Callithrix jacchus: one gene and its partners. The protein of the gene in region 3 purifies or fractionates together with the protein of the main gene of each other region. This does not show direct contact. Links are inferred from orthologs where the notes say so. Each region holds a gene or a part of one and is shown on either strand. Other genes may lie near its edges. The genes, in order: CHAF1A, IPO4, ASF1A, CABIN1, UBN2, HAT1 and NASP.

Region 1 (3,500 bases), on a different chromosome or scaffold from region 3:
TGATTCACTTGAAGTTTCTAGAAGCCTTCTATTTCTTGCTTAGGAATAGGACGGGAGACTGCTCCACCCACAGGTATGTTAACAGTGTCCTTGTTCAGTACAGACAGTCACCTTTGTCATCTGTGTTGTATGTCAGATGCAGTCACACAGGACACTGGCAAGAAATGAAAATTGACATCTTTCAGACTGTGTCTCTCTGGCTTTTGTTAAGGCTACCAGAGATGTACTGGGACACATTTAGAGCATTTCCTTAGAGACAAAGGCAGATACTCTTAACCCAAACTGAAAGCTGAGCTGTCAGGCTCCAGACATGTGGGAATCCCGTATTGGAGAGAGATGGTCCTCATTCTGTGCTGGGAGTGGGCACCTGTGGAGCCGGGCAGGTGATCATTTTGTGTTTTTTTTTTTTTTTGAGATGGAGTCTTCCCTCCGTTGCCCAGGCTGGAGTGCAGTGGCAAGATCTCGGCTCACTGCAACCTCCGCCTACCAGGTTCAAGCGATTCTTCTGCCTCAGCCTCCCCAGTAGCTGGGATTACAGGCACACGCCACCACTCCTGACTAATTTTTGTATTTTTAGTAGAGACAGGGTTTCACCATGTTGGCCAAGTTGGTCTCAAACTCTTGACCTCAAGTGATCCGCCTGCCTGGATCTCCCAGAGTGCCAGGATTACAGGCGTCAGCCACCACGCCCAGCTGACCGTGTTTAACATTAAACTTCAGGTGACATAATGACTGAGTGTCCAGGGCACTACCAAGTCTTTGGAATGAGGAACTTAGCAATGAAGTGTTACTCTCTTAAAGAATTTGAGGCCAGGTGTGGTGGCTCATGTCTGTAATCCCAGCACTTTGGGAGGCCAAGGTGGGCAGATCAAGAAGAGGTCAGGAGTTCAAGACCAGCCTGACCAATGTGGGAAAACCCTGTCTCTACTAAAAATACGAAAATTAGCTGGGCGCGGTGGCATGCGCCTATAGTCCCAGCCACTCAGGAGGCTGAGGCAGGAGAATCGCTTGAACCAGGGAGTTCGAGGTTGCAGTGAGCAAGGTGGCGCCATTGCACTCCAGCCTGGTGACAGAGCGAGACTCTGTCTCAAAAAAGAAAAGAGAGAAAAAAACCTGGGCTGGTTGTGATGGCTCATGCCTATAATCCTAGCATTTTGGGAGGCTGAGTTGGGCAGGTTACTTGAGCACAGAAGTTCAAGATCAGCCTTGGCAACATGGTGAGACTCTGTCTTTACAAGAATTAGCCAGGTGCGGTGATAGGTACCTGTAGTCCCAGCTACTCAGGCGGCTGAGGCAAGAAGATGGCTTTTTTTTTTTTTTGAGATGGAGTCTTGCTCTGTTTCCCAGTCTGGGGTATGGTGGCACATCTGGGCTCACTGCAACCTCTGCTTCCTGAGTTCAAGCAATTCTCCTGCCGCAGCCTCCCGAGCAGCTGGGACTACAGGTGCACACCACCATGTTCAGCTAATTTTTTTGTACTTTTAGTAGTCTCGGGGTTTTACCATATTGGCCAGTCAGTCTTGAGCTCCTGACCTTGTGATTGACCCGCCTCAGCCTCCCAGGGTGCTGGGATTACAGGCGTGAGCCACTACGCCCAGTCAGAAGATTGCTGTGAGCCCAGGACGGAGGTTTCATTGAGCCAAGATAGTGTTGCCGCTCTCCAGGCTGGGCACTAGAATGAGACCCCATCTTCAAATTAGTAAATGCTTTGGGGTTTTTTTGTTTGTTTTTTAGGCAGAGTCTCGCTCTGTTGCCCAGGCTGGAGTGCCATGGCATGATCTTGAACTGCCTTCTGTGTTCCAGTGATTCTTGTGCCTCAGCCTCCTGAGTAGCTGGAACTATAGGTGTGCATCGCCACATCTGGCTAAATTTTTTGTATTTTTAGTAGAGATGGTGTTTTACCTTGTTGGCCAGGCTGTTCTTGAACTCCTGGCCTCAAGCAATCTGTCTTCCTCAGCCCCCCAAAGTGCTGGGATTATAGGAGTGAGCTCCATTGCGCCGGCCCGATTGTGTTTTAAATGAATCTTATATTGAATTGCCCACATGTATCGGACACAGGGCTAATTATTATCATTTTTCTCATGATGGAGGGAAGCATAATGGACGATGAAAATCACTTCTGTGGCTGGGTGCTATGGCTCATGCCTATAATCCCAACACTTTGGGGGCTGAGGCAGAGAGATTGTTTGAGCCCAGGTGTTCAAGACCGGTCTGAGCAACACAGCAAAACTCCATCTCTAGGAAAAGTATAAAAATGCCTGGGTATAGTGGCATGTGCATGTATTCCCTGCTACTCAGGAGGCTGAGGCAGGAGGACTGCTTGAGCCTGGGAGGTCGAGGCTGCAGCGAGCTGTGACTACACCACTGTACTCCAGCCTGGGCAACAGAGTGGACTTCAACTAAAAAAAAAATAAACTTACTTCTGTGTAAGGTTGTTGATTGGAGGCTCTTCCTGCAGCTGATCTCTGAATTCTTTTTTTTTTTTTAACTGAGTCTCACTTGGTTGCCCAGGCTGGAGTGCAATGATATGATCTTAACTCACTGCACCCTAGGTCTCCTGGGTCCAAGTGATTCTCCTGCCTCAACCTCCTAAGTAGCTGGGAGTACAGGCAGCTACCCTCTACCACGCCTGGCTAATTTTCGGAATTTTATTAGAGACTGGGTGTCACCATGTTGACCAGGCTGGTCTCGAACTCCTGACCTCAGGTGATCTACCCACCTTGACCTCCCGAAGTGCTGGAATTACAGGCATGTGCCACTGCGCCTGGCCTTGGTCCCCAAATTCTGTCCCTCTCATCTAGGCCCAGCTCTTCCCCCATGCTCTGATCAGAGCTTCCTCCTGGGATCAAGAGAGAGGGCCACTTGACACTGTCTTGAGCTCCCTCCTGGGGACTGGCAAGAAGGCCACCTGTCACCTGCCACACTGTCTTACAGGATCAGGAGCGCCTGGGCAAACAGCTCAAGTTACGTGCAGAAAGAGAAGAAAAGGAGAAGCTGAAAGAGGAGGCCAAGCGGGCCAAGGAAGAGGCCAAGAAGAAGAAGGAGGAAGAGAAGGAGCTGAAGGAAAAGGAGAGGCGGGAGAAACGGGAGAAGGATGAGAAGGAGAAGGCAGAGAAGCAGCGGCTTAAGGAAGAGCGGCGCAAGGAGAGGCAGGAAGCCCTGGAGTGAGTGCCCTCAGCCGTCCGTGCTGGGCCTACCTCCCCGCTGCTGGATTCCACTTCTGGCCGCTCTGATGGGCCTTTGGTGTTTCGCAGGCAGACTGGGGCTGCCATCAGTTCCTTTCTGTTTCTCCTGTGTGAGCTGCACGTGCGTCCCCGACGTGGGAGCAGTGGAAAGCAGCTCCCTGCTCTTTTGTGCTCCCCCATGTCCACTCACCCTGGGCCCCTTGTCTCTGCCTGTGACTGTCCTTCCAGTTCCCAACCAACTGAGGCATTTGCATCGCAGGAATATGGGTTTTGTTTGTGGTAATTTTGCATCGGCTGGCTAAAGTCTTTTATATA
Region 2 (4,182 bases), on a different chromosome or scaffold from region 3:
GCTCTCTAGAGACATCTCCCTCTTCACCTTCCTGGTTTCCAACCTTAGTGTCTATGGCCATCATGTGAGACTTAAAGCCTATTTGATTACTCATTTACTTTGTTGAATACCTCTTTGTGCCAAGCAGAGAATGAAGTGGAAAGTAAAATGGACAACATCCCTGCCCTTAACCTATCAGGGAAGATACTCTTGAAGTGAGAGCAGTTAATCATAGGCAAAAAATTCCCATGAAGCTAGGAGTTCTGGGGCAGAGAGTGGAGTGAACTCACTTTTCACAATGACCCAGCAACATGGGAGAGGGTGGGGGCTGGATTTTGGCCCAGCCACCGTGCTGACAGTGCACAGCCCTTTAATGCTGTGTATCATCTCTTTTCTTCACAGTGCCATCTCTGTGGAGCTGTACTACATCTTTGCCACAGTATGGGGTCGGGAGCAGTACACTTTGTATGGCATCCTCTTCTTTGTCTTCGCTATCCTGCTGAGTGTGGGGGCTTGCATCTCCATTGCACTCACCTACTTCCAGTTATCTGGGGAGGATTACCGCTGGTGGTGGCGATCTGTGCTAAGTGTTGGCTCCACCGGCCTCTTCATCTTCCTCTACTCAGTTTTCTATTATGCCCGGCGCTCCAACATGTCTGGGGCAGTACAGACAGTAGAGTTCTTTGGCTACTCCTTACTCACTGGTTATGTCTTCTTCCTCATGCTGGGCACCATCTCCTTTTTTTCTTCCCTCAAGTTCATCCGTTATATCTATGTTAACCTCAAAATGGACTGAGTTCTGAATGGCAGAACTACTGCTGTTCTCTCCCTTTCTTCACGCCCCGTTGAGCTGTCCTACCAGCTTCTCTTTTGATTGAGTGACTGAACTGTGTGATGGCATTGTTGCCTTCCCCTTTGCCCTTTGGGTCTTCCTTCCCCAGAGAGGGCCTGGAAATTATAAATCTCTATTATATTAAGGAATATATATTTGAACTTTTTAAGTTGCCTTTAGTTTTGGTCCTGATTTTTCTTTTTACAATTATCAAAATAAAATTTATTAAGAAAAAGGATCATGTAGTTGGAGGTTTTGGTCTGGATATAGAAACGCGAGCCCTGCTGTTAACGGCACGGCCCTTTAGAAAGCGGAGCTGGCCACGGAATAACCGAATTTCGAGTTCTCCAACCCAGCTTGGGAACTCTCAGCGTGGGGAACCTATATTGCCAGAGCACGGTTTCCGCGACTCAGCCGGTGCTCAGCCTAACGGAAGTGGAGGAGCCGGACGTCTTTGTGGGAAGTGAATTGAATCACCTTGGCGACCCGCGGGGCGTGCGGCAACGCCCTTTCCGCCGGAAGTGGCTGTCAGCCTCCACGTGCTGTCCCTCCCCCTCCCCCTCCCCCTTTCAGCCCAATAGCGGCGGCTCAGCTGCTGCCATGGAGCCCGCCAGTCTGGAGCAGCTCTTACGGGAACTGCTGCTGCCGGACACCGAGCGCATCCTTCGGGTATGGAGCGGGCGTAACCGACCAGGGCGAGCGGGAGGTTGCGGGAAAGGCCCGACTCTCACTCCTAGCTTTCCCCTAGGCCACGGAACAGCTCCACATCGCTCTGCGGGCCCCCGCCGCCTTGCCGGCTCTCTGCGACCTGCTCACCTCGGCAGCCGACCCCCAGGTGAGACCCCTGCACTGGCCAAGCCCCAGTAAACGCCCCGTGCGGTCCCCTCAGCACCTTCCTTACCGGACCCCCACATGCCTACTTCCTCGTCCCAGATCCGCCAGTTTGCGGCCGTGCTGACCCGCAGACGATTGAACACCCGCTGGCGACGGCTGGCGGCGGAGCAACGGGAGAGGTGGGCTGGGCCTGGGGCGGGGCGGGGCCAGGTGGAAGCTTTTCTTGGGCAGGCCGGGTACCAAACACCTGCCATCTGTGTTCTAGCCTCAAGTCCCTGATCTTGACGGCCCTGCAGAGAGAAACAGAGTGAGTATCTACTCCCTTCTCTCGGGATCTTGACGACCTTCTTTGGGTTTCTGCCTTCCCCTTCAGCTGCAGGCTGGGACTTGGGGGGCAAGGACTTCCGTTCTAGACCAAAGTGAAGATTTTAAGGCTGTTTCGAAGACTGAAGTTCTTGAGAAAGGGTGATGATGATCTGGCAAACCAAAGTCAGAAGAATGAGACTGAAATTCAGGCTAAGTAAGACTGAGCTTACCAGATTACATGCCCGCAGTGCAGCTGGGCTCCCTCTGAGCTTCTATCTCATGTGTCCCAACTTGGCAAAGACCCTGTGCCCACCACTCCTGAAAGTTTCCCTCCTGGCTGCCCCAATGAGTCTGGCCACTCAAGAGGAAGGCATTGGAGGGTGACTGGAGATCTCTCCTGTTTGCAGGCACTGTGTGATCCTCAGCTTGGCCCAGCTTTCAGGCACCATTTTTCGAAAGGAAGGCCTGGAGGCCTGGCCTCAGCTTTTGCAGCTTCTTCAGCACAGTACCCACAGCCCCCACAGCCCAGAGAGAGAGGTACCATTACATAGTTGGCAGGAGGAGGGAGGGCCCAAGAGGCCGGATAGACCATGTAAGCTCGCCCTCCCATCCTCTACTCTTGGACAGATGGGGCTTTTGCTGCTGAGTGTGGTGGTGACCTCCTGGCCCGAGGCCTTCCAACCCCACCATAGGGAGCTTCTTCAGCTTCTGAATGAGACTCTTGGTGAGGTGGGCTCTCCTGGGCTGCTCTTCTACTCCCTGCGTACTCTGACCACCATGGCCCCCTACCTCAGCACTGAAGATGTGGTGAGATGTGGGCCCACTCATATCACTGACTGCCTTTCCTCAGGCCTTCATGTCCTCACCCTTAAAAGTTACAAAGCTGTGCCAGACATGGTGGCTCATGCCTGTAATCTCAGCACTTTCAGAGGCAAAGGCACGCAGATCACAAGGTCAAGAGATCGAGACCATCCTGGACAACATGGTGAAACCCTGTCTCTACTAAAAGTACAATAAATTAGCCAGGTGTGGTGGTGTGTGCCTATAGTCCCAGCTGCTCGGTAGGCTGAGGCAGGAGAATCACTTGAACCAGGGAGGCAGAGGTTATGTGAGCTGAGATCGCACCTCTGCACTCTAGCTTGGCAACAGAACGAGACTCTGTTTCAAAACACACAAACACACACCCTACAAAACTGCTTTGGATTCTTTACCTGCCTTTGGCCCCTACACACACACACACACACACACACACCCAAAGCTGCTTTGGATTCTTTACCTGCCTTTGGCCCTTCCTGACAATTGAGAGGGGATGCTGTAGGTGGGCCTGGCTTGTTCCTGGGCTCCTCCTCACAATTCAGGCTGTGAGGAAGCTGCCAGCTGTTGGGTTGTAAGATTAGGCTGCATCATGCTCTCTGTGATGTGTCTTTTAGCCTCTCGCTCAGATGTTGGTGCCTAAGCTGATTGTGGCAGTGCAGACCCTGATCCCCATAGACGAGGTGAGGACAGGTGGGCAGGAGCTCTGTTGGAAGGAGAGTGCAGAAGTGTCAGCTGGGCCCACTGAAGAAGAGCATGGTCACCCTGTGCCTTGTTTTGTCTGTCAGGCAAAGGCCTGTGAGGCCCTTGAGGCTTTGGATGAACTGTTGGAGTCAGAGGTACCCATCATCACTCCCCACCTCTCTAAGGTCCTCACATTCTGCCTGGAGGTGAGCCTGGAATGGACATGGCACCGGCTACATGCCCTGCTGGGACTTTGCTTGCCTGGCTCTGATTCTTATTATTCTCTGGACAGGTGGCTAGAAATGTGGCCCTGGGCAATGCGATACGTGTACGTATCCTTTGCTCCCTCACTTTCTTGGTCAAAGTCAAAAGCAAGGTGAGTTACCATTGACACATCACCAACTGTCCATCTCCACCCTTAATCTCACTTTTGGGGCTTTCTGTCCATCTCAGGGTATCTAAAGTACTATGGGGGTTCAAGCCTTGCCCTGGCCTCACCCCAACTCCTGCCTCGGATATTGGGAATCTTCTGTCAGACCCCTATGGCCTGGAAGACTGTTTTTTTTTGAGATAAGAGTTTTGCTCTTGTTGCCCAGGCTGGAGTGCAATGGTGCAATCTCAGCTCACCACAACCCCTGCCTCCTGGGTTCAAGTGATTCTCCTGCCTCAGCCTCCCAGTAGCTGGGATTACAGGCATGTGCCACCATGCCTAGCTAATTTTGTGTTTTTAGTAG
Region 3 (3,981 bases):
AAAAACTAAAAAATTAGCCTGATATGGTGGTACATTGACCGTCTTCTCAGCTACTCAGGAGGCTGAGGTGGGAGGACTGATTGAGATTGTAGGGAGCTGTGTTTGCACCACTGCACTCCACCCAGCCTGAGTGACACAGTGAGACCCTGTCTCATTTAAAAGAAAAATTTTTTCTATAGTTTAAGAATTTTTTTTTAAAAAAACTATAATATAAAAGTATGGAACCTATAAGAAACCTTTGCTAAGTAAACTCATTTCCTAAATCCACATAGCCTCTAGGTGGAGTACACAGTCATGGCCCCTTTTTGAAAGATTCCTTTGCAGCTTTGGCATGACTCAGCTTAAAATATTTTTTAAAATACTAAATACTCAGTAATGGTGCCTTGGAAGTGAAATATACCATTGGAAATAAGCATATTCTTGACACCAGTACTGTAAAACCCTGATGTGATTCAGCTGGGTTCTGAATGGATCCCACTTAAAAATGGAACATGTTTTGGCTTCTATGAATGGCTGGTTTCATCTATAACGACATCCTGAGTCATCTATCTTCTTTGTTCAGAGCTGACTCCTAAAATGGAAGGCATCACTTGAGAAATACCTGTAATTTGAAGAACTTCTGGTGGTATATTTGAAGAACACTGTGGTATAATTTGGAATGGACTGACCAATGATTTTTCTTTTGTCTGTTTTTATATGCAATTGGCAATAAAAAAGAAAAATTTACTGACTGTTGGGTGTGAAAAATGGTGCTGGTAGCTGCAATGCTTATATTAATAGTAGTATCGTAAGAGAATAATCAGATGACTTCAGAGTAATACGAAAAATACCCCTTAATGTTATCAATGGCCTATTTGAAATTATTTTAATAAATGAATTATCTTTTAAAATTTGCCCTATATGTGTATTTATGCTCTGCATAGGTCTTAAAAAACAGAGGCACACATGTTAAAGTAATAATTGTGATTACCTAAAGGAGTGAGATAGGGGAAGGTATTTAACACAGAGAACTGTTAACTTTATATATGCCTGTACAACTTTCTATAAGTTTATTACAATGAACATATATTGTTTTTATAAAGTTAACAACTCACATAAGATATATACATTTTAGAGATTAAAAACTAGTTTTTAAAATGAAAATAGTTTTACATGCTATGATTAGCCAAATCTTCAATGCATTTTAAAAATATACTTCTAATTCAAAGATGTCCCTCATCGATGAAGTTAAACTTTTTCCCCTTCAAAACTGGCAAATTAAGCACTGAATTACTTTAGTAAAATAAAAGCAAGGATAATTGTCGTTTTAGCTTTCTAAATATTACTACACATATTTTAAAATACGTATTTTTAAGACCTTGAAACATGTAGAAAAAAATATAAAGAATTCTTGGACTAAGTATTTTACCTTAATTTTCTAGCCTACGTTTGTGTTTCATGTTCAGGGTGTGTTGTGTATCTGGATGTGGAGTTATTTTAGATTTCAACACGTCCTTGAAGAAAGTCTTAAAGACTATTTAGAAGGCAAAGATTAAGTCCTGAAATTATTTAAGTATCCAATTTCTGCTCTTAGGTTAAATGTAACTTCCTAGCTCAGCTCTTATTTCTCTTCCTGAGATTAGCTTTTCGTCATTAGGGGAAAGGAGTCCACGTTGGTTGGGGAGCCTGCGCGCCAGCATCCCGGCGCATCCCGGGCGCCGGCCGAGGAGGACCGGCCGAACAGGACCCGCGGCCCCCGGGGAACGCCGGCGCCCAGCCCGCGGCGCGGAGGGGCCGAGCCTGTGCCCGCCTCCCCTGCTGGTTGGTCGAGGGAGCCAGAAATCAGCGCGAGGACAGCCTCGCTCTCCTCTCTGAAGCGGCCGGGCATGGCCAGCCCGGAGAGTGAGGCGACTCCACTGTGAGCTCTAGAGAGTTGACTACCTGCCTTTCGCCAGGGGCTGGAGGGCAGGCGGGCGGCGGGGCAAGAGAAGGCGCCGTGCGCCGGGGTCGCTGGCCCAATTCTCGACTCGGGGTAAGATGGCTCCGCTCCGAACTCGCCGGCGCTACTACACGCACAGCCTCTCCCTTCCCAGCCTCCGTGCCCAAGCCCGGAGGGTCGTGGAGGCTGGTCGTGGAGCCAGCCCCGCGCGACCCCCGGCGGCGCCGCGGGCGCGAGTGCCGGTCTCCGAGCTGCCCGCTCGCAGACAAAGCTGACAACATGGCTACCTCCGCTCCTCGGCTCAAACAAGTTCCTCGCAAGTTGAGCCCGGCAGACGCCTGGGCTGCGGCGGAACGCCGCGCGCGCCTCGGCTGCCGTCGTCCATCAACTTCAAGTTTCCCTCCGCAGAGGAGCCCGCGGCCGCCCGGCGCCGAGCACGGCCGCCCAGCGCGAGGCCGGGCCCGGGAAACTTTCAACGTCTGCAGCCCGCAACTGACAGCCCGGGTGCGCGGGCGCCGCACTCACCTTCAGACAGGTCCTCGATGCACTCGAAGGTGATCTCGAACTGGAACGGGTTGTAGAAAGGAGAAGGATTATCCAGCACCACTACATTGTTCACCTGAACCTTTGCCATATTTTGAAAAAAACACAAACAATGGGAACTGGGGCTGGTTGCGGCACAATAAAGTCCAGCGCGCGGCCGCCCGGGAGAGCGCAGACCCCCGCCCCAGCGCCGGCCCGACGTCGTGCAGCGGCGACTTGAGAAACTTTTTTTTCCCTCTTTTTATTTACACGGGAACACTCCACAGTGTTTTGCAGCTTTCCTATTTCACTAAACTACAGCCCATTCTGCTCTGATAAGTAGCAGCGTTGCCCTCGATTGGCTGCACCCGAGCTCTGACCCTCCTCCTCCAGCGAGTGCCTCGGCAGCCAGCAAGATGGGCTCCCGCTCCCGGAATGGACTCGGAAACTTTAACTGCGGCTCCACCTGCTGGTGTGGATTAGGACAAAGGCGGAGAACAAAGTGAGTGGAATAAGGGCTGGGAGGCCCGCGCGGAGGCCGCCGCCGGCGTCGCGGAGAGAGGCGAGGGGCGTGGCCGCGGCGGGGAGGCGTGGCCGTGGCGGGAGGGCGCGATCCGGGCGACGCCCGCCCCTCTAGTTGGTTTCGTGTGAGGTGTTTTGGCGTTTTTTGTTTTTTGGTTTTTTGTTTTAACGCTTTTTTTTCTTTTTTTTTTTTTTTTACATCGGTGCAAAGGCTCTGACGGCCTTGCTGAATTTAGCAGATGAGAGTCCGTGTTTACACTGGGTTAGGTTCAGCTTTCTGTGTATCGGGTAGTATTTGGAGTAGAGAGAATGATTAGCTGCAGTGGAAATAAATTGCATGTTAAAGACCGATGTCGGCTCGAAAGGAGCAAAGCCATTTTGGAAATCTAGCTCTTGGCCAGTATCTACGTTTGGGCACGACAGCGCCGTTAAGCAGACACAAAATGAAGGGCGAGGAATGATTTTCCACACACTGTGCTTGGAAAATCTAAATAGGTAACCTTTGGGCTTGCACCTGGGCGTCGTCTTCCGAGTCCAGATCTGGAAAGTCCTAGAATAAGAAAAGAATCACAAGCGATGTGATTAGTTATACCCCAGGTTACAGCCATTTGGAGAGAACAGAAAATGGAAGTGTCAGGAGACCAACAGGGCAACAAACATAACAGATGGGAAAAGAACACAAAGGCATAGCAAGACATTTGATCTTCAAAAAAAAATTCTTGACCTAAACCGTTAGTAAATAAAAATTTGTAGCACAGCAAGCAAATTCTCAGGAGCCCTTGCTTGCCTGTAACCAGTTCGGGTTTGAACTGAGGAAACGTTGATTCGTTTATGCGGCTTGACTACCATTGCAGGGAAAGAGGAAGCTTTAACATGTCTGTGAGCCTAAACCGTTTCTATTTAGTAAGTGATGTAAAGGGTTGTTTTATTACCTGCTATCCATAAACCATCACTTTTTTCCTTAAATGTTGTGAATGAAACCACCAAACTTGGCCAAATTCAGAGAGAAAAATTCTTAA
Region 4 (3,500 bases), on a different chromosome or scaffold from region 3:
AGGCCTTCCCCAGCTGTCACTGAGTGCAGCACACAGGGTGGACCCACTACAGAGGGCCCAAGGGCAGCAGGCTGGTGCCAGGTCAGAAGCCTACTGGCTCTGTGGGTAGAGGGAGCTTGGAGGACTTCTAGGGGAGCAGTACCAACAGGTGGGCTGTTGGGACACTGAGGAACCAACCTCAAGGCATCCCCAAGGCAGGCATGGGCAGCAGCCACCATCCAGCAGTGCTGTGTGGTGTGGGATGCTCTCCCGTCCTCTCTGACTACCCCTATATGACTATAGGAAGTATCTACGAGATGCTGACCGCCAGGTCCTGGCACAGCGGGCCTTCATCCTCACAGTGAAGGTGCTGGAGGACACACTGAGCGAGCTTGCAGAGGTATGCCACCTGCATCCACCTCTCCTCCACAGCCCCGTGAATACGCTCCCAAGCTCTTCCCAGGTGGTGGGCCCAATCCCACCGTTTGCATACACCTAAGCAGGATGTGTCTAAGGATCCCCATCCATGAGGTAGCACCCATCCTGCCTCTTCCTAGGCAGGGAAGGTTAGCCGTGGTCATGAATGCATGTGAATTCAGTGAGGCATGGATGCACTTGGTGATTAGTAAGAGACATAGTGGCTCCACAAAACTGAGCTCCCCAAGGGCATGCACCACCCAGGGCAGGGTCCCAAGCCCTCTCCCTAGCAGGTTGACAAGGCCTGCGAGAACACTGTGTGTGTGCATCGTCCCTTTTCAGCCTCGAGGCAGGTGCAGCGGTGCCTCCTCCTCACAGCTGAGCACCTGGAGGAGGCCAGGGAGGTTAAGTAGCCAGCCTAGCCAGTGGGGCTGTTGAGAGTTGAGCCAGGACTGCCTCCAGAGCTTATGCCTGGTAGGGTTGGCTGTGACTCGGTGCAGAGGATCAGGTTGGCATCCTGAGCCTGTTGGGGAGGAGTCCTTGCCAGCCACCTGCCAACCGCAGGGCCTCATGCATTAGGGGCCAGGAAGACTTGGCTCTGCAGCAAACATGCTTGGTGGCTCTGGACAGGTCCCCTCCCATAAAATGCCCAGAGCTGCCCAGAGTTCACATCATGGAGTCGAAGAAGAGCTGGACAGTACTGCCCCAACTCAGCCCAGGCCTGTTATTCAGGAGCAGCACCACCTCCAGAGTCCCATCAGCCCCTTGCTACCTGGGAATGTGGTGGGGCAGCTAGAGGTACAGAGAAGGGTTGGTTCTTCTTATGCAGGTCTCTGGGCCCATTGTTCTTCTCTGATAACTGGGACATAGCCCTGGCCAGCTGGCAGATATCCAGAGCCAGACAGATGTCAGGTGGGAGAGGCCCAGGATGGGCACACCAGTGCCCAGAGGTGATTCATTACAGTGGAGATACCAACGACACAGCATCTTGCCTTTGGTTTCTTTGTAGGGGTCAGAACGCCCAGGGCCCAAGGTCTGCAGCCTCCCTGGAGCCAGGATGACCACCGATGTCTCACACAAGGCCACTCCTGAGGATGGCCAGGAGGGCCTCCCCCAGCCAAAGAAGCCCCCTCTGACTGATGGTTCAGGGCCAGGCCCCGAGCCAGGGGGCAAAGTGGGCCTTCTCAACCACCGGCCTGTGGCCATGGATGCAGGAGACAGTGCAGACCAAAGCGGGGAGCGGAAGGACAAGGAGAGCCCCCGGGCAGGGCTCACTGAGCCCATGGATACAGGCGAGGCCACTATTTGCCACTCAGACTTGGAGCGGACAACACCCTTGCTGCCAGGTCGCCCCCCGAGGGACCGAGGCCCTGAGAGCCGGCCCACTGAGCTGTCCCTGGAGGAGCTGAGCATCAGTGCTCGGCAACAGCCCACCCTGCTCACCCTAGCCCAGCCAGCCCCTGCCCCTGCCACCACCATGGGGACCAGGGGGGGCGGCCACCCTGAGGAGCCGCTCCCCCGGCTCAGCCGCAAGAGGAAGCTCCTGGAGGACACAGAATCTGGCAAGACACTTCTGCTGGACGCCTACCGTGTGTGGCAGCAGGGCCAGAAGGGCGTGGCCTATGACCTGGGCCGTGTGGAGAGGATCATGTCGGAGACCTACATGCTCATCAAGCAGGTGGGCGGTGGGCAGAGGCCTGAGGGCACTTGTCTGCTGGCAGCACCCCCACTCTTGCCTTTCTGTTCTCAAGGAGGGTCGTCCCAGGCCGCCCTTGGGGTGGATTTAGGTGTCATTCCCATCCCATCCCCACTGTTCACTTTCTGCAATGAGCTTTAACAAGTTGATATTCATCCTGGAAGGAAGTGAGAGCCCATCACAGAAACTTCATCACACCAGCACAGGGAGTCTGGACCACTGCTCCCACTGCTGCACTGGGCCTCTGGGCACATCTTAGGGCATTTCTGTCAAGACTTCTGTGGCTCTCATTTAAAGATGACTGCAGCGCCCTAAGTGTGACCAGAAATGCCTTTCTTATTAAAAAAAAAAAATGTATTTTAATATGTCAGGCACTTTCCTTTTTCTCCATTTAAAATTATTCCCATAGGAAGAATCTCCAAAACTTTAGTGACTGGCTTAAATGGGATGACCATCCCTGACAGTTTTTCCCCTAATCATGTCAGTTTGCAGTGCACCCCCTACACCTGCCCCATATCATGTGGACCTTGGGCACTGAATCTCTGGACGCACTCAACACAGCATGGGGCTCTCACCGTCAGGTCTGGAATTCCAAAAGGCCTCTCCCACTCTGATCACAGCCCTCCACCCTGCCCACTTAAGGGGCACATTCTAGCTTAGGAGACTCCCTTCATCCCCTAACCACTGGGCCTCAGCCAAATTTGAAGGCTTGGTTGGGGCCCTGAGTCTGCCTGTCAGCTTCATCTTGTGAGGATGTAAGTAACTCAGCCATAGAAATGAACTTGGTATGGCCAGATGGGCTTAGAGGAATAGCTGGGTTCAGTCCTGGCACCAGTGCCTGGTGCTGTGGGACCTGTGCAGGCACCCCCACCTGAAAGTTGGACAGGCACCTGCCCCTGCTGCCTATGAAGAGCTGGGAGGTGGGATCTGGGTGTGGACGGCAGTGGGGACAGCTGGCGATTCAGCAGAGTCTGGGGTGGTGGTGGGTATCTGAGCCACAGGGCATGCCCCCTGCCCAGGCTGGCCTGTGCTACCTATGCAGACAGGGCTTGAGGGAGGCCAGCCACAATGGCCTGGGTCCCCTGATCTCGGGCATCTCCCTGTTAAGGTGGATGAGGAGGCTGCGCTGGAGCAGGCTGTGAAGTTCTGCCAAGTCCACCTCGGGGCTGCCGCCCAGAGACAGGTAAGCCCAACTTAGCCTGTGCCAGTCTTATCTTGTGGAGCCTGCCCCACAACAAGGCCCCACGATGCAGACTGAGAAGCAGGTTCACTCTTGGGACTGTTCTTGTGGTCAGCTTGGGCTGAGGGGAAATGAGCAGGGGGTAGCTGAGCCTCCAGCCAATGGCCATGGTGGGCAGTGCCTTGGACGGGCCCCAGACTCCAGGTCAGACATGCTGAGGAGTTCCCT
Region 5 (3,500 bases), on a different chromosome or scaffold from region 3:
TGATGTTGCTGCTAAAAATCAAATAGAATTTCTCAGAAGCCTTACATCAGAATAAAATATTTGTATAGTGCAATCAAAAAATTGTCAATTGCCTCGACTTCTCTGTGGCTTTTTTCACAGAGCTAAGGGAAAGACACTTGTGAAAGGCTGAATTTTGTTTCTGTACTTACCAGTGGAGATACACCTGAATTTTGGGCTATCAGTATCCATAAGGTTGATGTAGAGGGTATTTCTTCCCTCCTAAAACTTGGGATTACAGTCATTAAGAAATTAGGAGACAAAAATGTTTATATTACTAATGATTGTCTTAAATTTTCGTTATTTACAAGTAAACTTCTTTGGGAATGTAGGCTACAAGTAATCCCTTTTATTGAATGTATTGTTTTTCAGCTATATAACTTATTCATTCATTCAGCAAATATTAGTACCCTGCTGTATGGCAGGCACTGATGTAGGGTTTGGGTTGTGTAACAGTGACTGAAACATGGGTCTACCTTCAAGATGCTAATAACCTTTTAGGTTCTGTAGTGCACATTTGGAAGCATTTAAGCCATAGGATTTAGGTAAGATTTCTAGGAGAAAGTAATAGCTAAACTGAGCTCTTTCCTCATTTTTTTCACCATAATGGCCATTTACCTATTTGCCTTTCAAGGGAAGAAGATGCTATTATAATAGTATAAATTAATAAGAAATTAGGAAAACTGCTGTTACCTGTCAAATGATTACTTTAATTCTGCACGTATTTATTTATATGACACTTTAACCTTTAAAATCACACATAGCTGGATCATTTTTTTCTTCACAGAGTTGTGGCTCTAAATTCACACAAGTGTGAAAAAAAGAAGAAACGTTATAAAGATTCTCTTTCTCTAGCTGCCATGATTAGAAAATTCCAGAAGGAGAAGGATGCATTAAAGAAGGAGTCTAGCCCCAAAGTCCCAGTGACCTCGTCAACTTCCTCTCTGAATAAACCCCCTTGTGCCACTGCAGCACTGGGGAATGATGTCCCGGACTTAAATCTGAGCAGCGCTGATCCAGACCTTCCCATTTTTGTTAGCACAAGTGAACATGAGCTGTTTCAGGAAGCCGAAAATGCCCTAGAGATGCTAGATGATTTCGACTTCGACAGATTACTGGATGCTGCTTCTGATGGTAGCCCCCTGTCTGAGTCAGGGGGTGAAAATGGAACCACCACCCAGCCAACCTATACTTCTCAGGTTATGCCCAAAGTGGTACCTACACTCCCAGAGGGTCTACCTGTACTTCTTGAAAAACGTATCGAAGACCTCCGTGTAGTAAGTGTAATAATCCTCTTGCTTTTTATTTGCTGCATAAACATGAAAATTAATGCTTTTGTTTGTTTTTATTTTCCACATATCACTGATATAATTGCTTTGGTTTTATTAAAGATAAAAATAATAACCTACAGTCCCAACATTTTTCTGACTTTTTGTTTTCCATGTTTCCTTTTAGACCTTTTCTTCTTTTCTTTTTTTTGAGAGAAAGTCTTGCTCTGTCTCCCAGGCTGGAGTGCAGTGGTGTGCTTGGCTCACTGCAACCTCTGCCTCCTGGGTTCAAGCGATTCTCCTGCCTCAGCCTCCCAAGTAGCTTGAATTTCAGGTGTGTACCACCTCACCTGGCTAATTTTTTTTAGTAGAAATGGGGTTTTTGGTACACTGGCCAGGCTGATCTAACTCCTGACCTCAGGTGATCTGCCCACCTCAGCCTCCTAAAGTGCTGGGATTACAGGTGTGAGCCACCATGCCCAGCCTAGACCTTTCTTTTTAGTAGAAAATAACTGGCTGGGCATGGTGGCTCATGCGTGTAATCTCAGCACTTGAGGGAGGACAAGGCGGGTGAACCACCTGAGGTCAGGAGTTTGAGAATAGCCTGGTCAATACGGTGAAACTCTGTCTCTACTAAAAATACAAAAAAATTTAGGTGGGCATAGTGGCACACGCCTGTAATCCCAGCTACTGAGGAGGGTGAGGCAGGGGAATCACTTGAACCTGGGAGGCAGAGGTTGCAGTGAGCTGAGATCATGCCACTGCACTGTAGTCTAGGTGACAGAGCGAAACTCTTTCTCAAAAAAATAAATAACATAAAATAAAATAAAAATAAATAAATAGAAATAACTATAGTGATAACATCGATACAGTTGATTCTTTTATTATTAAATGCAGGATTCACCTGACTCCAGAATAAGTGGCATAGGCTTTTTGTTATTCCGTGTGGCCCTATCTCTACAATCTTAGTTTCTTTTAGGTTTTAAAAAGTGCTAGTGATGTAATTCAGGTTTTTCAAGGTGTAATTAATAATAGCTATCGTTTATTTAGCAAGAACCCTGTGTGTTGGTTGCGGTGCAGCTACGTCCTACACGGCCCCATTTACTTCTCAGGAGACGGTAGCCCTGAGTGGGTTTCATATGTTTTACACACTGTGTTGTATAATCTTCTCAACAGTCATGCTTTAGGTAGTGTTTCTCCCGTTTAATTTATGAGGAAAATAAGGTTCAAGAACATTAAGTAACTTAACCCAAGGCCACATAATTTTTAAGTGGCCGAGCCAGGATTCAAGGTCAGGATTTTTTTTGTTTTTTGTTTTTTGGGTTTTTTTTGAGACGGAGTTTTGCTGTTGTTACCCAGGCTGGAGTGCAATGGTGCGATCTCGGCTCACTGCAACCTCCGCCTCCTGGGTTCAAGCAATTCTCCTGCCTCACCCTCCTGAGTAGCTGGGATTACAGGCACGCGCCACCATGCCCAGCTAATTTTTTTGTATTTTTAGTAGAGACGGGGGTTTCACCTCATTGACCAGGATGGTCTCGATCACTTGACCTCGTGATCCACCCGCCTCGGCCTCCAAAAGTGCTGGGATTACAGGCTTGAGGCACCGTGCCCGGCCGATTTGTTTTGTTTTGCAATGGAGTCTCGCTTTGTCACCCAGGCTGGAGTGCAGTGGCATAATCTTGGCTCACCACAACCTCCACCTCCGGATTCAAGCAGTCTCCTGCCTCAGTCTCCCAAGTAGCTGGGATTACAGGTGCTCCCCACAACAGCTAATTTTTGTATTTTTAGTAGAGACAGAGTTTTACCATGTTGGCCAGGCTGCTCTCAAACTCCTGACTTCAGGTGATCCATCCACCTTGGCCTCCCAAAGTGTTGGGATTACAGGTGTGAGCCACTGTGCCCGGCCTCATGCTCACTTAAACAAAATTGGTTAGTGATTGAGTGTGTTTCAATCTTGTAAGACTCTCTTATAGCTCATATCAAATAATGTCTATCTCTATAGTAGTCATGCCAGGATTATACAGCTTCTTCCCAACCCGGTACTGGGAAATTATCAATAAGATTCAGGCTGGGCACAGTGGCTTACATCTGTAATCCCAGCACTTTGGGGAGGCCAAGGCAGGAGGATTGCTTTGAGTCCAGGAGTTTGAGCCCTGCCTGGGCAACATGGTGAGATTCTGTCTCCAAAAAAACCCACTTAATTAGGTATTTAAA
Region 6 (2,236 bases), on a different chromosome or scaffold from region 3:
TTATTCTCTAATAGAAGAATTGATACGATAATTTAGAACAGTATATCCAAAACATGAAAGCTTTATATTTGCAATAATGCCATCCAACCAGGAATCTTGGAGTTACTGTTCATTCTTCCTTCCCCGTATCACCCAGTATTTTCTCCCCTAAATCTGCCCTGTCCCCTCCGTCTCTGCTGCTGCTGACTTGATCTAGGCTTTCATCAACTCTGGTTTGAACTACTGCAGTAGCTGCCCAGTTGTCCAGTCCCATCCTAAACATCTCTGACATAGTATTGTTTTGACAGTGTCCTGCATAAAAGTTCTTACCAGCTACCTGTTCCAAACTCAGCATAGTGGTATCCTAAGTAAAACAGGGAGGGTTTAGTATGATAATGTGTGTCTGGAACTTCATAGAGACTCAAATGCTAGTGTGTGTGTGTGTGTGTGTGTGTGTGTGTGTGTAATATACAGTTTTTTTGAAACAGTCTTGCTCTGTCACCAGGCTAGAGTGCAGTGGCACGATTCTGCTCACTGCAACCTCTGCCTCCCAGGTTCAAGTGATTCTCTTGCCTCAGCCTCCTGAGTAGCTGGGATTACAAGCATGCGCCGCCGCCACGCCCAGCTAATTCTTTTTAAATTTGTAGTAGAGACCGTGTTTCACCATGTTGGCCGGGATGGTCTTAATCTCCTGACCTTGTGATCTACCTGTCTTGGCCTCCCAAAGTGCTGGGATTACAGGTGTGAACCACCATGCCCGACCTAGTTAATGTGTTTTTAAGTGTCACAGTTTCCCATTTATCTTTCTGAAACATTTCTAACAGTTTATGTTAAAATTAGCATGTGGCACATAAATACTTCATGGGTGGAATTTAAAATGTAATTAATGATTGAATAGTAAAATGAAGCATAATAGCACTTAATCTCAGTGGTCTTTCTTCACCTCATGTCTTTTATTTATTAAAGAAATATTTGAGTTTCCACACTGGCCAGAGTTCTCTAAAGTTTTGGAGGGGGCTCCTAGTCACATGTCTGTATTTATCATCAATTGGACACAAATACCAGGTCTTCCTGTTAACTGTTTTTAGAGAGTTTGCAATTCATGGTTAACATTATGTTTAAGCTTCCTTTAAAAAAAAAGTGTGGGACAAGTTTTGGCATATTTGTACTATTCTTATTTTTAACATTGGACACTTAAAGTTGTAAGACTACGAGGAAATATATTTGCTTTCTTAGTCTAACAAATAATTGTTTGTCACCTAGAAAAAGCAAAGAGATCTTGCTAAGATGAGAAAATGTCTCAGACCAGAAGAACTGACAAATCAGATGAACCAAATAGAAATAAGCATGCAACATGAACAGCTGGAAGAGAGTTTTCAGGAACTAGTAGAAGATTACCGGCGTGTTATTGAACGACTTGCTCAAGAGTAAAGATTATACTGTGGTGTACAGGAAGCTTGCAAATTTTCTGTACAATGTGCTGTGAAAAATCTGATGACTTTTAATTTTAAAATCTTGTGACATTTTGCTTATACTAAAAGTTATCTATCTTTAGTTGAATATTTTCTTTTGGAGAGATTGTATATTTTAAAATACTGTTTAGAGTTTATGAGCATATATTGCATTTGAAAAAGATAAAGCTTCTGAAATACTACTGCAGTTGCTTCCCTTCTTAAACAGTATAATAAATGCTTAGTTGTGATATGTTAATGTGTGATATGATTCTTAAATATTTACAATAAACCTTATTCTTATCATTCCTTCTACAGTTTGCTTCTAAGATTTTACATCCGACACCTTTAAAACATTTCTTTAAGGTTTATCCTGGTAATTTTACTTTTTCAATATGATTCTTCTTTCTTTTTTAAGTTCAGGGGTACATGTGGAGGTTCGTTACATAGGTAAACTTGTGTCCTGGGGGTTTCTTGCACAGATTATTTCAACATCCAGATACGAAGCCTGTACCAGTAGTTCATTCTTCTGCCCTTCTCCCTCCTCTCAGCCTGTCTTCGAGTAGACCCCAGTGTCTTGTTCCCTTCTTTTTGTCCATGTGTTCTTACCATTTAGCTCCCACTTGTGAGAACCTGCAGTATTTGGTTTTCTGTGCCTGTGTTAGTTTAATGGCTTCCAGCGCCATCTGTGTCCCCGCAAAAAACATGATCTTGTTCTTTTTTTATGACTGCATAGTATTCTGTGGTGTGTATGTACCACATTTTCTTTATCCAGTCTGTCACTGATGGACATTTAGGTTGCTTCC
Region 7 (3,500 bases), on a different chromosome or scaffold from region 3:
TTTTAGTTATATTCTCAATACTGAGGAATTTTTACTTCTAGAAACTGAAGGCTCAGAAGAGGATGATAAAGAAAATGATAAGGCTGAAGAAATGCCAAATGATTCAGTCCTTGAAAACAAGGTACACTGTTAGCTACTCAGTACTGTTGTCTGCTTTTTTCCTTTTTTGGGAGACAAGCGTTCACTTTGTTGCCTAGGCTGGATTACAGTGGGGTGATCGTGATCATGGCTCACTACAGCCTCGACCCTCAGGGCTTAAGTAATCCCTTCACCTCAGCCTCTCAAGTAGCTGGGACTACAGGCTTATGCCAGCATGGCTAGCTAATTTGCAGGACTGTAGCTTACTAGTTTAGGCACAATGATTTTTTTTTTTAAGAGATAGAATCCCTGTTTCTGTTGCCCAGGCTGGCATGAACATGGCTCATTGTATCTTCAGCCTCCTGAGCTCAAGGAATCCTCCCACCTTAGCCTCTCAGACAGCTAGGTATCCAGATGTCTGCTGCCATGCCTGGTTAATTTGTTCTCTAATTTTATTAGATGTTATGCTGCCCAGGCTGGTCTCAAACCTGGCCTCAAGTAATCCTCCTGCCTCAGCTTCCCAAAGTGTTGGGATTATAGGCATGAGCCACCATGCCCAGCCCTAGGGATGATTATTATAATTATCTCTTGGTTATGAATTAGGGACCCTTTATTCGTGCCTAAGATGTAAGGACATATTGATTAGGGGTCATGTGTGTTAATATGTGACCCAACATTTCACTGTTAAATACCACTGACATGGTCATGACTTAGGATAGTATGTGGACCCATTCTCTAGATAATAGGGAGAAAGTTCAAATTTTGAATTGTATGTCAACTATTTTGTTTTTAGCTATGCTAAATTATACATTTAGATTTGTACTGTGAAAACATGCCTATCTTTTTTATTTGGACATACTTTAGTCTCTTCAGGAAAACGAAGAGGAAGAGATTGGGAACCTAGAACTTGCCTGGGATATGCTGGATTTAGCAAAGATCATTTTTAAAAGGTAAAACTCTTAGTGCTTCTAGGCTCAGGTTGGGAGCTTGGTGATTAAATAGAAATCAGTGTTAGACAAGTACTGTTAAGGTTTTTCATCAGCTTTCCTTCTTTTAGGCAAGAAACAAAAGAAGCCCAGCTTTATGCTGCCCAGGCGCATCTTAAACTCGGAGAAGTCAGTGTTGAATCTGGTAATGCATTTTCCATTTTACACTCTCCTACTCTGTTCATCTCTCCTGATCTTCCCATAACAAACTCTCTGGAACCCAACTTGATTGATCATTAAAAAGACAGGTTTAGATTTCCTGTAGAACATGGAATAATGAACAGTCTCTTCCAAGTTGTACTCTGATAGAAAGTCTTTGAGTAGGTTTTTAAAAGTCATTTTGACATTCTTTATAGTCAAGGGGACTGGAAACATACAAAAATGAAATATTAAATAGGGGCATATTCCCATAGGATGGGTCTGAATTCTGGAAGTATTTTATGTTAAATGCTGTCCATTTACTTGCTCTTCTTTGTCTCTTCATTAGAGAACTATGTACAAGCTGTGGAGGAATTCCAGTCCTGCCTAAACCTTCAGGAACAGTACTTGGAAGCCCACGACCGTCTCCTTGCAGAGACCCACTACCAGCTGGGCTTGGCTTATGGGTACAACTCTCAGTATGATGAGGCAGTTGCACAGTTCAGCAAATCTATTGAAGTTATTGAGAAAAGAATGGGTGAGTGAAGACGAGCTGCTTCATGGTGATCGTGGATCCATCAATTAACAAGAAAAAAAGTGGTTCTTTTTTGTGCTGTCACTTATCACTTATTCTTTTTACAGCTGTACTAAATGAGCAGGTGAAGGAGGCTGAACGATCATCTGCTGAATGTAAGAAAGAAATTGAGGAGCTGAAGGAACTGCTACCTGAAATTAGAGAGAAGATAGAAGATGCAAAGGAGTCTCAGCGTAGTGGGAATGTAGCTGAACTAGCTCTGAAAGCTACTCTGGTTGGTTCCATTTCAAGATTTTGATAATAGTATGTTTGTACCATTTATGTTAGTACTCCATTTGCCAGGAACTTTTCATCATGACTTGGTTTCCAGGCAGTTGGTGGGCTCATCTTGTTATTCCTATCAAATAATGTAGTGGTTAAGAGGAAATACTCTGGAGCCCCAGACTATCTGGGTTTTAATTCCATACTTAGTGTGTGTGGCTATGGGCATTTCTCTCCCTCAGTTGACCCATTTGTAAAATGGATAATACAGCTTGAGTATCCTTACCTGAATGCTTGAGACCAGAAGTGTTTTTGCATTTCAGATGCTTTTGGATTTTGGAATACTTGCATCATACTGAACAGTTGGATGTCCTTAACCCAAATTATGAAATGCTCCAGAGAGCATTTCCTTTGAGTGTCAATGCGAGTCCTCAAAAAGTTTGATTGTTGGATTAAGAGATGGAATGCCCAACCTGTAGTACATGTATATAAAATATACTTCTGCCAGTACTGGACAATTAGACATTTCTTAACAAATGTGAGTTGCTGGCCAGGTGCAGTGGCTCAAGCCTGTAATCCCAGCACTTTGGGAGGCCGTGGCGGGTAGATCACGAGGTCAAGAGATCGAGACCATCCTGGTCAACATGGTGAAAGCCCGTCTCTACTAAAAAAAAAAAAAGAAAATTAGCTGGGCATAGTGGCGCATGCCTGTCCCAGCTACTCAGAAGGCTGAGGCAGGAGAATTGCCTGATCCCAGGAGGCGGAGGTTGCGGTGAGCCGAGATTTCGCCACTGCACTCCAGCCTGGGTAACAAGCGAAACACTGTCTCAAAAAAAAAAAAAAGAAAAAAATATGTAAGTTGCTGTTTCCATCTCTGAGAACTCATTTGCATAAATTGGTGACTTATTGAGAGGCATTCACCACAAATTGCCTGGTACTGTTTTTGGCTGTCAGGATGTCACAGAGCTTTTTACCCTGGAGGGAGGATATGGAAGATTTAGTTTATTATGTACCCTCTGACTATGCTTTGGGTGGCTGCTAGACAAGCATAGGTTGGCCAGGGTTAGATGATCTTGACACTACATGGAGGCCACTAGCATTTGAGATCAGTTGTTTGGTTGGTGATTGGTACCTGTGAGTGGCCGGGTTCTAAACTAAAACCAATTGGGTTTGTCATTTCTCATACAGGTGGAGAGCTCTACTTCAGGTTTCACTCCTAGTGGAGGAATCTCTTCAGTCTCTATGGTGGGTATTCAGGTGGTTTTTGGTCACTTATTAAGTCTCAGTGTTGGCACAGTGTGGTGGCGCTTGCCTGTAATCCCAGCACTTTGGGAGGCCAAAGTAGGAGGATTGCTTGAGGCTTGGAATTCAATACTTAGAAACATAGTGAGACTGTCTCTAAAAAACTAAACGTAAGTCATATAAGCCTCAGCATTGATCTTGTATAGCTTGAACAATTACTAATAAAGGCTTATTTTGCCAGATTGCCAGTAGAAAGCCAA

What was found.
Region 1: the proteins of ASF1A (region 3) and CHAF1A purify together in Homo sapiens (affinity purification with western blotting; 3 studies listed by BioGRID and IntAct, with this or other methods). This does not show direct contact. The link is inferred for Callithrix jacchus from reciprocal best matches to the Homo sapiens genes ASF1A and CHAF1A.
Region 2: the proteins of ASF1A (region 3) and IPO4 purify together in Homo sapiens (affinity purification with mass spectrometry; 4 studies listed by BioGRID and IntAct, counting the BioPlex papers as one, with this or other methods). This does not show direct contact. The link is inferred for Callithrix jacchus from reciprocal best matches to the Homo sapiens genes ASF1A and IPO4.
Region 4: the proteins of ASF1A (region 3) and CABIN1 purify together in Homo sapiens (affinity purification with mass spectrometry; 4 studies listed by BioGRID and IntAct, counting the BioPlex papers as one, with this or other methods). This does not show direct contact. The link is inferred for Callithrix jacchus from reciprocal best matches to the Homo sapiens genes ASF1A and CABIN1.
Region 5: the proteins of ASF1A (region 3) and UBN2 purify together in Homo sapiens (affinity purification with mass spectrometry; 3 studies listed by BioGRID and IntAct, counting the BioPlex papers as one, with this or other methods). This does not show direct contact. The link is inferred for Callithrix jacchus from reciprocal best matches to the Homo sapiens genes ASF1A and UBN2.
Region 6: the proteins of ASF1A (region 3) and HAT1 purify together in Homo sapiens (affinity purification with mass spectrometry; 4 studies listed by BioGRID and IntAct, counting the BioPlex papers as one, with this or other methods). This does not show direct contact. The link is inferred for Callithrix jacchus from reciprocal best matches to the Homo sapiens genes ASF1A and HAT1.
Region 7: the proteins of ASF1A (region 3) and NASP purify together in Homo sapiens (affinity purification with mass spectrometry; 6 studies listed by BioGRID and IntAct, counting the BioPlex papers as one, with this or other methods). This does not show direct contact. The link is inferred for Callithrix jacchus from reciprocal best matches to the Homo sapiens genes ASF1A and NASP.

Annotation. Positions count from the first base shown.
Region 1 is NC_133523.1:4,171,129-4,174,628, forward strand, and holds part of CHAF1A (chromatin assembly factor 1 subunit A), read left to right. Parts: intron 1-2,934; coding exon 2,935-3,164; intron 3,165-3,500. UniProt on the Homo sapiens protein: Acts as a component of the histone chaperone complex chromatin assembly factor 1 (CAF-1), which assembles histone octamers onto DNA during replication and repair.
Region 2 is NC_133509.1:58,495,158-58,499,339, reverse strand, and holds the start of IPO4 (importin-4), read left to right. Parts: upstream 1-1,382; 5' UTR 1,383-1,411; coding exon 1,412-1,480; intron 1,481-1,559; coding exon 1,560-1,646; intron 1,647-1,712; exon of another isoform or gene 1,713-1,744; coding exon 1,745-1,824; intron 1,825-1,910; coding exon 1,911-1,952; intron 1,953-2,358; coding exon 2,359-2,488; intron 2,489-2,578; coding exon 2,579-2,758; intron 2,759-3,381; coding exon 3,382-3,447; intron 3,448-3,552; coding exon 3,553-3,654; intron 3,655-3,740; coding exon 3,741-3,824; intron 3,825-4,182. Other genes in the region: TM9SF1 (transmembrane 9 superfamily member 1), read left to right, coding at 382-775. UniProt on the Homo sapiens protein: Nuclear transport receptor that mediates nuclear import of proteins, such as histones, RPS3A, TNP2 and VDR. Serves as receptor for nuclear localization signals (NLS) in cargo substrates.
Region 3 is NC_133505.1:125,225,159-125,229,139, reverse strand, and holds the start of ASF1A (histone chaperone ASF1A), read right to left. Parts: upstream 2,801-3,981; 5' UTR 2,553-2,800; coding exon 2,444-2,552; intron 891-2,443; exon of another isoform or gene 595-890; coding exon of another isoform or gene 563-594; intron 1-562. UniProt on the Homo sapiens protein: Histone chaperone that facilitates histone deposition and histone exchange and removal during nucleosome assembly and disassembly.
Region 4 is NC_133502.1:195,264,595-195,268,094, reverse strand, and holds part of CABIN1 (calcineurin-binding protein cabin-1), read left to right. Parts: intron 1-282; coding exon 283-379; intron 380-1,405; coding exon 1,406-2,074; intron 2,075-2,577; coding exon 2,578-2,673; intron 2,674-3,200; coding exon 3,201-3,275; intron 3,276-3,500. UniProt on the Homo sapiens protein: May be required for replication-independent chromatin assembly. May serve as a negative regulator of T-cell receptor (TCR) signaling via inhibition of calcineurin. Inhibition of activated calcineurin is dependent on both PKC and calcium signals.
Region 5 is NC_133512.1:108,052,224-108,055,723, reverse strand, and holds part of UBN2 (ubinuclein-2), read left to right. Parts: intron 1-805; coding exon 806-1,295; intron 1,296-3,500.
Region 6 is NC_133507.1:57,533,163-57,535,398, reverse strand, and holds the end of HAT1 (histone acetyltransferase type B catalytic subunit), read left to right. Parts: intron 1-1,242; coding exon 1,243-1,410; 3' UTR 1,411-1,736; downstream 1,737-2,236. UniProt on the Homo sapiens protein: Histone acetyltransferase that plays a role in different biological processes including cell cycle progression, glucose metabolism, histone production or DNA damage repair. Coordinates histone production and acetylation via H4 promoter binding.
Region 7 is NC_133508.1:82,362,397-82,365,896, forward strand, and holds part of NASP (nuclear autoantigenic sperm protein), read left to right. Parts: intron 1-41; coding exon 42-121; intron 122-942; coding exon 943-1,028; intron 1,029-1,135; coding exon 1,136-1,209; intron 1,210-1,551; coding exon 1,552-1,740; intron 1,741-1,844; coding exon 1,845-2,011; intron 2,012-3,186; coding exon 3,187-3,243; intron 3,244-3,481; coding exon 3,482-3,500. UniProt on the Homo sapiens protein: Component of the histone chaperone network. Binds and stabilizes histone H3-H4 not bound to chromatin to maintain a soluble reservoir and modulate degradation by chaperone-mediated autophagy.